2 linked regions of the Callithrix jacchus genome follow. Each later gene encodes a partner of the first gene's protein in a complex. Links are inferred from orthologs where the notes say so. Each region holds a gene or a part of one and is shown in the gene's direction. Other genes may lie near its edges.

Evidence for each region. The genes of interacting proteins can lie anywhere in the genome.
Region 2: the proteins of BBS4 (region 1) and BBIP1 are in contact, whole or in part, in a cryo-EM structure (PDB 6VBV), measured with the Bos taurus proteins. The link is inferred for Callithrix jacchus from reciprocal best matches to the Homo sapiens genes BBS4 and BBIP1. Residues at the interface, in NP_001069424.1 of Bos taurus: Leu210, Leu213, Tyr236, Leu240, Ala241, Ser244, Gln247, Thr248, Ser269, Pro271, Asn274, Asn275, Met278, Phe281, Gly282, Lys284, Tyr298, Leu299, Pro301, Leu302, Asp303, Trp304, Lys305, Ile306, Tyr308, Asn309, Leu312, Leu315, Thr316, Gln318; in XP_003587939.1 of Bos taurus: Met7, Phe8, Arg9, Glu10, Val11, Leu12, Pro13, Lys14, Gln15, Gly16, Gln17, Leu18, Tyr19, Val20, Glu21, Asp22, Leu28, Lys30, Pro31.

The regions. Positions count from the first base shown.
Region 1 is NC_133509.1:19,622,694-19,628,457, forward strand, and holds part of BBS4 (BBSome complex member BBS4), read left to right. Parts: coding exon 1-37; intron 38-1,702; coding exon 1,703-1,830; intron 1,831-5,106; coding exon 5,107-5,161; intron 5,162-5,764.
Region 2 is NC_133513.1:103,841,432-103,847,524, reverse strand, and holds the end of BBIP1 (BBSome-interacting protein 1), read left to right. Parts: intron 1-1,252; coding exon 1,253-1,327; intron 1,328-2,320; coding exon 2,321-2,487; 3' UTR 2,488-4,041; downstream 4,042-6,093. Other genes in the region: PDCD4 (programmed cell death protein 4), read right to left, coding at 4,695-4,755.

The DNA.
Region 1 (5,764 bases):
AGGAGTTTGCTACATTTATCTGAAGCAGTTCAACAAGGTAATTTATAGAAGTGGTGATGGATTTCACTGAGGGTGCACTTGCTGTTACAGTTACATTGCTCATTTTGTATTATCCTTGGTGCTTGCAGAGGTTTTTGGAACTGAAAATTAAAATTATCTTTATACATTTATTTCTGTTTTAATTTTCACTTGTCATTATTCATCTGTTGTTTTCTGCTTTTATAATAAGAACATGGAAAGTTCTAGAAATAGGAGAGAATGGCAGTTTTTCTCTTTCTTCTTTTTCTCTACCTCCAGTTTAATTTCCTAGTATAGAAACAAATGCTTAATAAAACATAAATATCAAAAAGTGGACCCTAAGTCTTAAAGGTGTAATCATGAGCATGTGAGTGATCTAATATCCTTACAGCAACTGATTTTAGTTTTTAGGGTCATTGAAAATAAATTTTAAGTGGATCTGATTTCTGAGTTTTAAAAGTTTTTAGTTATTTTCCATGATGAGAATTTATATTTCATTGTGATTAAGCTATAGGCTCCTATATCAGAGAAAACAATTAGAGCTTACCTCGGTACTCAGGTAAGGAAAAGTATATATCGTAATTGAGGAATAGACAGAATGTCTGAGAGCTCTAAAACTTAGTGATGGGAGCGTTGGGTAGTTTCCTTCATAGAGCTCACACTTAGTGATTGTGAAGTTTTATTCTCCTTTCTCCAGTGCCACCAGGACTGAGAATCTGAATTAGTACCCATCTGACAATGTTTAGTTTGTATCAATTTGCAGACTGGGATAACATAATCTATCCCACACTGGTGTAAAAAAAAATGCACATTAGCAATTGGGTTGTAAAAGTAACTTTTCTCCTGAGATAATAAACAATATATGTACATAAAATACATTTGGTGGGTCCCTTAGGTTTTGTAGATGGATCTACAGTTTTATATACTTGATTAGGAGATTTTTCTCTTCACAGACAATTTCAGACATTCATATTTCTATTCACAGCATTATTCTGAGTCAGGGGAAAAGAAGGATTAGTCTTTGGTTGGACCTGTACTGAGAAGAAATAGATTTTACTGTATAGCTAACAGGCTAGGCAAATACAATACTTACATTTATATAAATACTTGTTGTATCATTGAATGACAGAACACCTTTTTGTTTACTAGAAGGTAAACTCCTCCAGAGCAAGGAGTTGATTTTATTAATTCAAATATATTTAGCACCCAGAACAGCAAGTATTCAATGAATACTTGTTGGGTGAATAAATGAGAACAATCTATTTATTCATTTATCATCACATTGGTGGGGGAATGGGGGCCCACCGTAGAGAAATTTGTGCATTTGGTCACTGTTACAGCTGGGATTTAGTTTAGTGTAGTACTCTACATGTACTATGATGTTTCTTTTGACTTATGAAGTATGAGTCGTAGGTATGAATATCAAGCAGTAAACATTCAGAAAGATTAATCATCTTGCATAAATTCTTCCAAGTAGCTTCAGAAGCAGATATCCCATGTTGCCAGCTGTCTTTTCAACAAGGACAGTTTTGGTATGTTTTGGTCTTTGGGTAGTGGGGGCTCTTTGCTGAAATGTGATGTTCCTATGTCAATACAGCAGCAACTGTCTTTACATTAGCCATATCAAGTTATAGTTCTTTCAGTGGTAGTGATTTGGTTTTCTTTGCTTTGTCAAACTTGTCAGGCACAAGACCAGTTACACAATGCCCTGAATCTTAATAGGCATGATCTGACTTATATAATGCTGGGGAAGATCCACCTGCTGGAGGGAGACTTGGACAAGGCCATTGAAATCTACAAGAAAGCAGTGGAGTAAGTGTAACTGTTTCCTTTAGAACAATGAGAAACTACTATGTTTGATTAATTACTTATTGTATGAGTTAAAGGTGAAGCTGAGGTTTAAGTTAAGAGCTCCTGATGGCTTCAGTAAGGTAGACTGTGTTTCTTTCTCACCTCTCAGGATGGCTGCTGCTTTAGGTTAGCTGGGCAGCTCTATTCTACAAGGTGAGCCAGGGATCCAGGGTTCTTCCTTATTAACTCACCATTCCTTAGGTTTTTGTCTTTATCTGCAATGTTTGATGCTGAATGTAACATCCACATCCAGGCTGTGGTAGGAGATGGTATGGGAAGCTAAGTATGGAATAAGCATCTGGCAATAATTTTATATTTCTTTTTGAGACAGGCTCTTACTCTGTCACTCAGGCAGCTCACTGCAGCCTCAACCTCCTGGGCTCCAGCGATCTTCTCACTTTAGCCTCCCAAGTAGTTGGGACTACAGGCATGTGCCACATGCCCAGCTAATTTTTTTTTTTTTTTTTTTTTTGAGATGGAGTCTTGCTCTGTTGCCAGGCTGGAGTGCAGTGGCATGATTTTGACTCACTGCAACCTTCACCTCCCGAGTTCAAGTGATTCTCCTGCCTTAGCCTCCCAAGTAGCTGGGATCATAGGTGCGTACCACCGTGTCCAGCTAATTTTGTATTTTTAGTGTGCACCACCATGTCCAGCTAATTTTTGTATTTTTAGTAGAGACGGGGTTTTACCATGTTGGCCAGGATAGTCTCGATCTCTTGACCTTATGATCTGCCTGCCTCGGCCTCCCAAAGTGCTGGGATTAAAGGAGCGAGCCACCACCATGCCCGGCCTATCCAGCTAATTTTCAAAAACGTTTTTGTGTTGACAAGGCCTCGCTATGTTGTCCAGACTGGTCTTAAACTTCTGAGCTCAAGCAATCCTCTTGCCTCACCTTTCCAAAGTGCTGGGATTACAGGTGTGAGCCACTGCACCTGGGCTTGGTAATAAATTTCAAATGACCCAGAAATTGCACACATCGCTCCTGCTTACATTCCATGGTTCAAAACTACGTGAGAGTTGCAAGAGAAGTAGGCAGATGCACACTCAGGAAGAAGGAAATAACAGATTTAGGAGTTGGCTGACAGTCTGGCATTTTGGTATCATATGTTAGCAACAGATCTTCTGTTTTCAGAGATATTATTAGGGACAGAAATCTGATTCAGTAAAAAAACATAAGAAATGTTTGGCCTTTATTAGCATGAGACCAGTATCTTTTTTTTTTAAACATCACTAGGGTAATACAGACTTCCCTTGATAATGGAACTGATTGGCTTTCCCATGATGGTGTTTCATATTTTCTCTCTAGAAACACATGCTTTCTTTTCTGTTTAGGGTCTTGTCTTGTTCTTTCTTTCCTTTCTCCTTCCTTCCTCCCTGCCTCTCTTTCTTCCCTCTCTCCCTCCCTCCCTCTCTTTCTTTTCTTTCCTTCATTTCCTCCCTCCCTCCTTTCGTTCCTTTCTTTCATCAGAATCTCACTCTGTCACCCAGGCCTGAGTGCAGTGGTGTGATCTTGGCTCACTGCAGCCTCTGCCTCCCAGGTTCAAGTGATTCTTATGCCTCAGCCTCCTGAGTAGCTGGGACTAGAGGAGTGCGCTGCCACACCTGGCTTATACTTGTATTTTAGCAGAGACGGTGTTTTACCATGTTGGCCAGATTGGTCTTGAACTCCTGGACTCAAGTGATCTGCCTCCCTTGGCCTCCCACCGTGCTGGGATTGCAGGCTTGAGCCACTGCGCCTGGCCTTGTGTTGTTTCTTTTAAATGGGACAGCTGTAGCAAAATGCTTTGTCTCATTTGTTTGGTCACTTAACAGAATGTCTGGTCCATGGTTCAAGGTTTATTATTCCTAATAATTAGATTCTGAACTAAACTTAGATTGCTATTAATTTATTATCTTTGTCTTCTACCATGGTAGTAAATTTTCTGGTTATGTCAATGACAACACTGCTTTCTGAATTTTCTTCAACCACATTTTGTGTCTAAAAAGACAGAAAAATCACTTGGTTTGTTAAGCTACGGAAGCAACTTTTGTCATCAAGAAGCTGTATATATGGGCAAGTAGTAAGGAGCATGTAACATGTTAAGTGCCTCTGTGATGCTAGGTAGTAGCCCTGACCCCTGACCCCTGCCTTCTAGAGGTTGGCTCTTTGAGATTAGGATACATAAATCCCAAGGGGACATTCTTCCAGTAACCAATCAAGGACTTCAGTCACTAAATTTCCCAAGAGAGAAATGTGGACAGCTAAAATTTGAAGCCTTACTGAGAAGATAGAGGCCATTGTTCATGACATACAGCTTTGAATGGTCATGTTGTAGTGGGGGACTGATACGCTAGAATTATAGAAGTTACCTGTCTTTGGGGAGGGAAGTGATCAAAATGGATGTTTATTATGGCAAAAAGTGAAAGGCAGATTCCCAGTTGAATTGAGAAAGCTGTTTGGTCAGCTCGGGCCTTCCCTGGCTGGGGCTCTGCATCTTCTGGTTCAGGTCTCCCTAGAGGTAACCAGTGTCCTGTATTGTTCCTTAGAAGCATGAGACATTGTTCATAGCCCTTTGGTGTTTTACTGTTGGAGTTGTCTGATGATCCTATAATTAGATCATCCCAACTCAGTGTTGCTTTGGTTTTGTGACAAAGACATATTAGTGAGGGATTGAGCAGGCAGATCATATTTTGCTTAGATCAGCATTTACTTCCAAAGGTCAGGAGCACCTTCTTTCCTAGGATTGGTATGTATCTTCCTTCTTTTTTGTTTGGCTACTTAGTATAGCTTTTTGTTTAAGTGGAGAGAAGAGCATTATAGGAGCCTTGGGATCCAAAATTACATAGAAAATTATGCTGCCTGGCATTGTGAACACAATGAGAATAGAAAAAAAATCCCACAAGAGAGGACTGGTGAAACTATGTATAAGTTCTAGACTGACTTGGTTTATAAAGCATTGTTCTTTAATTTTATTAGTGTGACCAAGACAGTCATGCAAAATATTCTTTCTTAGGACTTTTACTCTAAGAAAGGAGTCTGAATTCTAAGCCCCATTTCTTGCTGAGCAGTTCTCCCTATTGCCAGGGTTGAGATGATCTACTTTTGATGGCAGTTCCCAAAGTGTCTTCAGGGATTTCCACGGGGAGCAAGAGGTTCAGTGGGGCCTGTCAAGTATTACACAAGGATACATTACCATGCTTGTGTCTCCGTGATTCTCATCCACATCTTGTTTCCCTCTGAGCATCTCTATGTTGCAGGTTCTCACCAGAAAATACAGAACTTCTTACAACTTTAGGATTACTCTATTTACAGGTAATGAAAATTCTTGACTCATTCATGCATTGATGTTAGAAATGCTTTTGGGTTTGTGTGTCTGGTGGTTTTCTTGCATTTTGATATTTATCTTACTAAAGGTCAAAGTACATGAACTACACTCTCTATTTGATAGTCTTTGTTAAAGGAATTAATTTTCTGCTTTTAAATTGGAAGTAATTCTATTTTACCTTAGTGCAATTATAATTCTTATCTTGGCTGGGCGTGGTGTCTCATGCCTGTAATCCCAGCACTTTGGGAGGCTGGTGGATCACTTGAGCCCTGGAGTTAGAGACCAGTCTTGGCAACATAAGGAGACCCTGTCTCCACAAAAAATACAAAAATTAGCCAGGCATGAATGATGACATGTGACTGTAATCCCAGCTACTTGGGAGGCTGAAATGGGAGGATTGCTTGAATTTGGGAGGCAGAGGTTGCAGTGAGCTGAGCCACTGTACTCCAGCTTGGGTGACACAGCCAGACCCCCATCTCAAAAAAAAAAAAAAAAAAATCCTTATGTAACGTGGGAAAGAGCATATATCATAAATAACTCTGGTGTTGGGGGGTTGTTACTTTGTTGTAAGGAGAGAAACTGATACAAGT
Region 2 (6,093 bases), on another chromosome or scaffold:
GTGCAGTCTAAGGAAATTGCACATTGTATTTACTTCATATTCTATTTAAGTGGTGAGTTGCTTTATTCCTGGTCCATTACTTATTTCACCTTCTTGCTAGAACACTATAGGGGTGACACTTGATGATAAAGTTCTGGAAAGCAGATAGAGGTTTTCAGGAACTTGGACATTCCAGAATAAAAATCTGAGCAAGAGAGATGAAGAGACTTGGATACAGAGGAGAAAGCTTTTATTAGGAATGTCAAAGTAGTGGAGTGGGAATAACAAAGACCAGAAGCAGCTTCACTTGATTGTAATTAATTTGCAGGGGTTGTTAAAGGTAGGCACCAAGCCAGCATCACCACTTTATAAATAATAAATCTGTGGGGGTGATGTTGTGAAAGAGGCATGCTAAGGTTGCATCAGCAAGGTGAATCACTGAGTGGGTGGGACTGTCTAGAAAAGCATCTGTGTTTGGAAAGGGATCATTCTACAGTTTAGTCCAGAACACCTTGAGCATACAGCATAGCAGAATCTTGGCTGTAATACTTGAAGCAAATATCACTAGCAAAAACGGTATGTTTGCTGGGATGTTCATAACAAATACTCCTGGTTAAGTATTTGCTGGTCCTTTAGCATATAGAATCTCAGTATTAGAGGAAAATAGCAAGCTGAAAGCACACCATATTTCCATTCTTCAGTAGCCAATTTCACCTATTGCATTACTTTGTTACAAATTGCAGCTGTGTAGCCAGTAACTGATCCATAGGATGCTTTGTGTTAGGCACAAAGTAGAATCCAGCTGTTAGCTGTTTGTTGAAAGAAGTAAGAATCTTAGGAAATGTTTGCCTGCCACTTCCTCCTTTTCGTAACTACCTGCCTCACCCTCTCAACTGGTGGTCATGTTTTTTTTGTCACCCACCATTCAGGAGAAATGCTATCAATGAACCACGCTGGCTACACACACATACCTTTTCCTCAGATGATATTAATCATCTTTGCCTTAAAAACCAAAGCTCTACCAAGTTTTCACTATGAGAGAAAAATAAATTAGAACACCCGCCAGCCTTGTAGTTAACATAGCTGATTAATGAAAGTTGACAAGATGCTTATACAAACTATCCCAAGGTCACAGGAAATTAATGGCAATATTATGCAAGGGTGGTTCACTTTCTATAGGAATTTGGATTTTACTGCTTAAACTACAATGGAAATGTCTCAGGCAATCTGCTTTGGGAGTTTATACTTGAATAACACTGATTTCTCATTCAAGGGGAAAACACTGTATCCAACAACTCCAACATGGCAGAAGTGAAGCCAGTGTTCCGGGAAGTTCTTCCAAAACAAGGTAGTACATCACAAATATTGAGATCATTATTACAGAGACTAACCAAGTGATAGGCAGTGTCACATAGCAGGCTTAATAGCTAAACATCTGCAGCTGTTGTGTTCCATATTGTCTCATTTACTGTTTACTCTTAGTATATGCTTTTCTCATCAGTATATTATAAAGGAGGGATCCTCACTTTTTTCTTTCCAGTAAAAGGATAACAAATGAAGCATTGTTACTTATACCTAAAATTGCTAACTACAATATGAATTTTTTTTTAAGAGAACATGTTTTCACTCGGTCACCTAGGCTTGGATACAGTCGGCATAATCATAGCTCACTGCAGCCTTGAACTGCTGGGCTCATGTCCTGGCCTACCGATTTGCTAGTACAACAGACATGTGCTACTGTGCCTGGCTAGTTTTGTTTTTGTAGAGACTGGATCTCACTGTGTTGCCAAGGCTGTCTCGAACCCCTAGGCTCAAACAATCCAACCCCTTTGAGATCCCAAAGTGCTGGGATTACAGGTATGAGCTACCATGCCCGGCTCAATATGAAATTCAATGAAGGATATAATGGAATTTACTATAATGTTAATAAGGTCTGAAAGTGGAGAAAGAGAAACCTTAAGTGACAGAAAAGCTGAAGGTTTAAACAGGCATTTGAATATGTATGTTAAATACCATACTTTGCTATAGTTTTTGCACTACATATATATATCCTGCCCAATCTTATTTTAAAATAAAACTTCTGACACAAAGTTTTGTCTTATGATAACATAAATTCTTGGGTAGAAAGTTCAAAACTTATTTTCCTCAGAAACACCCCAGTAGTAAGAAATGCTGCCTATAGGGTGACTATGATCTTTCTGGTCCCACAGCAAAACTCAGTTTAGGTACAAGAGTTTTTCAGTGACAACGTATTAATTTTTTAGACCTTCATTCTAGCTGCAAATCCAACTACCAAACCACTGGGTTACTTTTCTTAATTCTTATTTCTTATTAAACTTAGGGCCATTGTTTGTGGAAGATATAACCACAATGGTGCTGTGTAAACCCAAACTTTTACCTTTAAAATCTCTGACTCTGGAAAAACTAGAGAAAATGCATCAAGCAGCACAGGATACAATTCGCCAACAAGAAATGGCAGAAAAGAATCAACGGCAAATAACCCACTGAACGGTAACTGAAGCACTTTAGGGAACAACCTGTCTTACCTACTGTTTAACAGTAACTAGAAAATCATATGCTTCTGTGTGCTGAAAGTAGTATTTGTTAATATTATCAATAAAATTGATAGTATTCATATAAATACAAATATACCTAAGATTGATGAAATTTGTATTGTGAGTGTAAACACTCTGGTTTGTATTGAACATAGTTACTATGAACCAAATTTTATGGGGTTTTTTACTCATGTTTTTAGAACTGTGTATTATTTGTTCACCATTCCTGTTGCTATCTCTTATAGATAACATTCTTGGGCACAAGGGACTAATAGATCTTTACACATTTATTAAAATCTGAATTGGAAGATATATTCCAGTGTTGCATAAAGTGTTTGTTGGGCTTTTACATTATTGAATTAAACAAATCAATTAAAAAAATTTTTTTAACCAATTTTAGGTGCCATGTCACATTTAATACTGTCATGTGTGACCAGATCCTACCAGTAATGATAAAACTGTATTAAATCTCATTTTGAAGAAACCCTCCCCTACTCTGTAATCAGCTAAGCTTTTAATTACATTAATGTTAAGGACTTGAGAATTACATAATGGTGTTTATCATCCAGGTGTCAATTAAAAACCTAAAAATGTTAACTGTATTATAAGCCTAGGTAATATGAGGTAAATATGAACATTAAACTTGGTTTTAATTCTAACAGACTGTATCTAAACTTGCAATCGGTATACTCCTAATAGTACCCACATAAATTCTGAATATAATTGTCGGTTTGCTGCATTCAATATTTGGCAGTTTAGCATACACCTTGAGGGCTTGCTGAGTTATTAGGCTATGTAAAAGTGGTTGAGGCCGGGCGCGGTGGCTCAAGCCTGTAATGCCAGCACTTTGGGAGGCCGAGGCGGGTGGATCACAAGGTCAAGAGATCGAAACCATCCAGGTCAACATGGTGAAACCCCGTCTCTACTAAATATATAAGAAAAATTAGCTGGGCCTGGTGGCGTGTGCCTGTAATCCCAGCTACTTGGGAGGCTGAGGCAGGAGAATTGCCTGACCCCAGGAGGCGGAGGTTGCGGCGAGCCGAGATCACGCCATTGCACTCCAGCCTGGGTAACAAGCGAAACTCTGTCTCAACAAAAAAGTGGTTTCAAAGTATGATCATTCTTTTGTTATTAATCGGTAGGTCATATTTTCTCAGACATTGGGTAAATGTCAAGCTTTCAGTCTTTGGAGAATAACTTTTTTTAACACTAGCCATTATTTGGTAACAGAATTTAGGAATGGAATGATGGAAGGTATTACATATTTCTAAAACTTATTTAAGCTCTAGATCAGGTAAGAGTGGAAGAAAGTGATACTGCATTTCTTTCCTGAGCGTATTCTTAATTTACTATTGTACTTTTGATTTAAAAGTTTGTAGGAAAAAAAAGTTTTCAAGGAACACTAAGATTAAATTCACTAAGTTCAAATATGCTTCCTTATGAGATTTAAAATTTGCTGTGTGAAATTAAAGTTTAAAAGATCTAAAATAAATGTACTCCCAATAAAGAATCAACACTGCTTCACATCTTTTATTTTGGTGTACATTCTTCTAGAACCAGGTTCATTTTTCCAGTTTTGTAGAAAAATAGATGTTCCAGCCACCATTTACTTCACTGTGTAGTCTTTTAAGACCAATCAGTATGTTCCCTAGAAAGATGAATAAGTCTCACGACTAATTTTTTTTTAATTCTTTAAGACAAATAACTTTCTTTTTTTTTTTAACTTCCAAAGCACAGTATTTCAACAGCAGCAGCCAACATGGGGTTTTAGCAGCTTAACTTTACCCCCTAAATAAAGCTTTGTATAAACCAGTGATTTTACTACAAAAAACACTGTCCTTGAAAGAAAGGAGTGGCAGTCAGACATCAATGCAAAACTTGGAATGATTAGGTCATAAACATGGCACTTAACAAAAGGTAGCTTATTAGAATATTCCACTTAAGGAGAGGTTTCTTTTCTGTCCCTCCTTTGCCCCTCAAAAAAAAAAAAAAGAAAGAAAAAACATTACCTTTAAAAATTCCCCTTAAATGTAGGTTTATAAAATGTCAGAAATGCCTTGTACCCAAAACAAGTGCCAAAAAAAAAAAAACTTGTGCTAACAACTCTTACAATTCAGATATATATTTTTATAATATCTAAGACTGCAAGAGTTCTTATATTCAGTAGCTCTCTGGTTTAAGACGACCTCCATCTCCTTCGCTTACAAAACGCTTTCTGCCCCTGTAATGAAGAAAAAAAAAACCCATGAAAACAGATACAATTTCTAACTATAGTCAATAAAAAAATTTAAAACTTGGTATTTTTTGGTTACATATTAGCTTTTAAAGGGTTTTCCTTTAAAAAAAAAAATCAGCATACCTCTAATTCCTTTGGAAAGGATTCCCTACTCTATAAAAGCATAAAAACATCAATGTCAAATCTGAGTTTGTTTTTTTTAGCACTATCCAAATAATCACATTTAAAAAGTTGATGTCAAACTAAAGCAAACATTTTATTTTATTTAGAAGTTTAATATTTATTTCTACATTATTATTATCTGTAAACTTAACAGTGAGCCAAATAGGAAACACTAACATAATTCAGAATTATGCAAACTGGAGCTGTGGAATCTATCAAAATATCCATGTTTGACAATTTAAAAAAATCTTGTATCAGCTATAGAAAAACGGTAACTTGAATGTGGGAAAAACAAATCAGAATTATAGCCTATGCTCCATTTAGAAGCCCTGCTCTATAATATATAAGCCCACACTCCAGCTACATGTAGTAGCAACAGCCCAGAAGGAACAGCTGGACAGTGGCCTAAAACAGTAAGTGGGAAATAGAACTTGGGCAACATTAGCCCTTACTCTCTGACTGCAGGCCAGTATGCACAAGCATGCAAAACCACACACAAATATGCACCTCACCCAAATAGGCTAAAAGATAAAGGACAAAAGTCAAAGCAGTATGGTATGTATAAACAGAAAGTTTAGTTATCTCCTCATGTGACCCTTGAGAATAAAGCCACACAGACTTTGAAACAGAGGCTGAAAAACTTTCAAAAGGCCAATGCCAGGGTACTGGCCACACACTTTCCAGTGAGAACATCCCCACACACAACCACACACCCACTTTCCAGTGAGAACATCCCCACATACACCCACACATACACTTTCCAGTGAGAACATCCCCACATACACCCACACATACACTTTCCAGTGAGAACATCCCCACATACACCCACACATACACTTTCCAGTGAGAACATCCCCACATACACCCACATATACACTTTCCAGTGAGAACATCCCCACACACAACCACACACCCACTTTCCAGTGAGAACATCCCCACATACACCCACACATACACTTTCCAGTGAGAACATCCCCACATACACCCACACATACACTTTCCAGTGAGAACATCCCCACATACACCCACACATACACTTTCCAGTGAGAACATCCCCACATACACCCACATATACACTTTCCAGTGAGAACATCCCCACATACACCCACACATACACTTTCCAGTGAGAACATCCCCACATACACCCACACATACACTTTC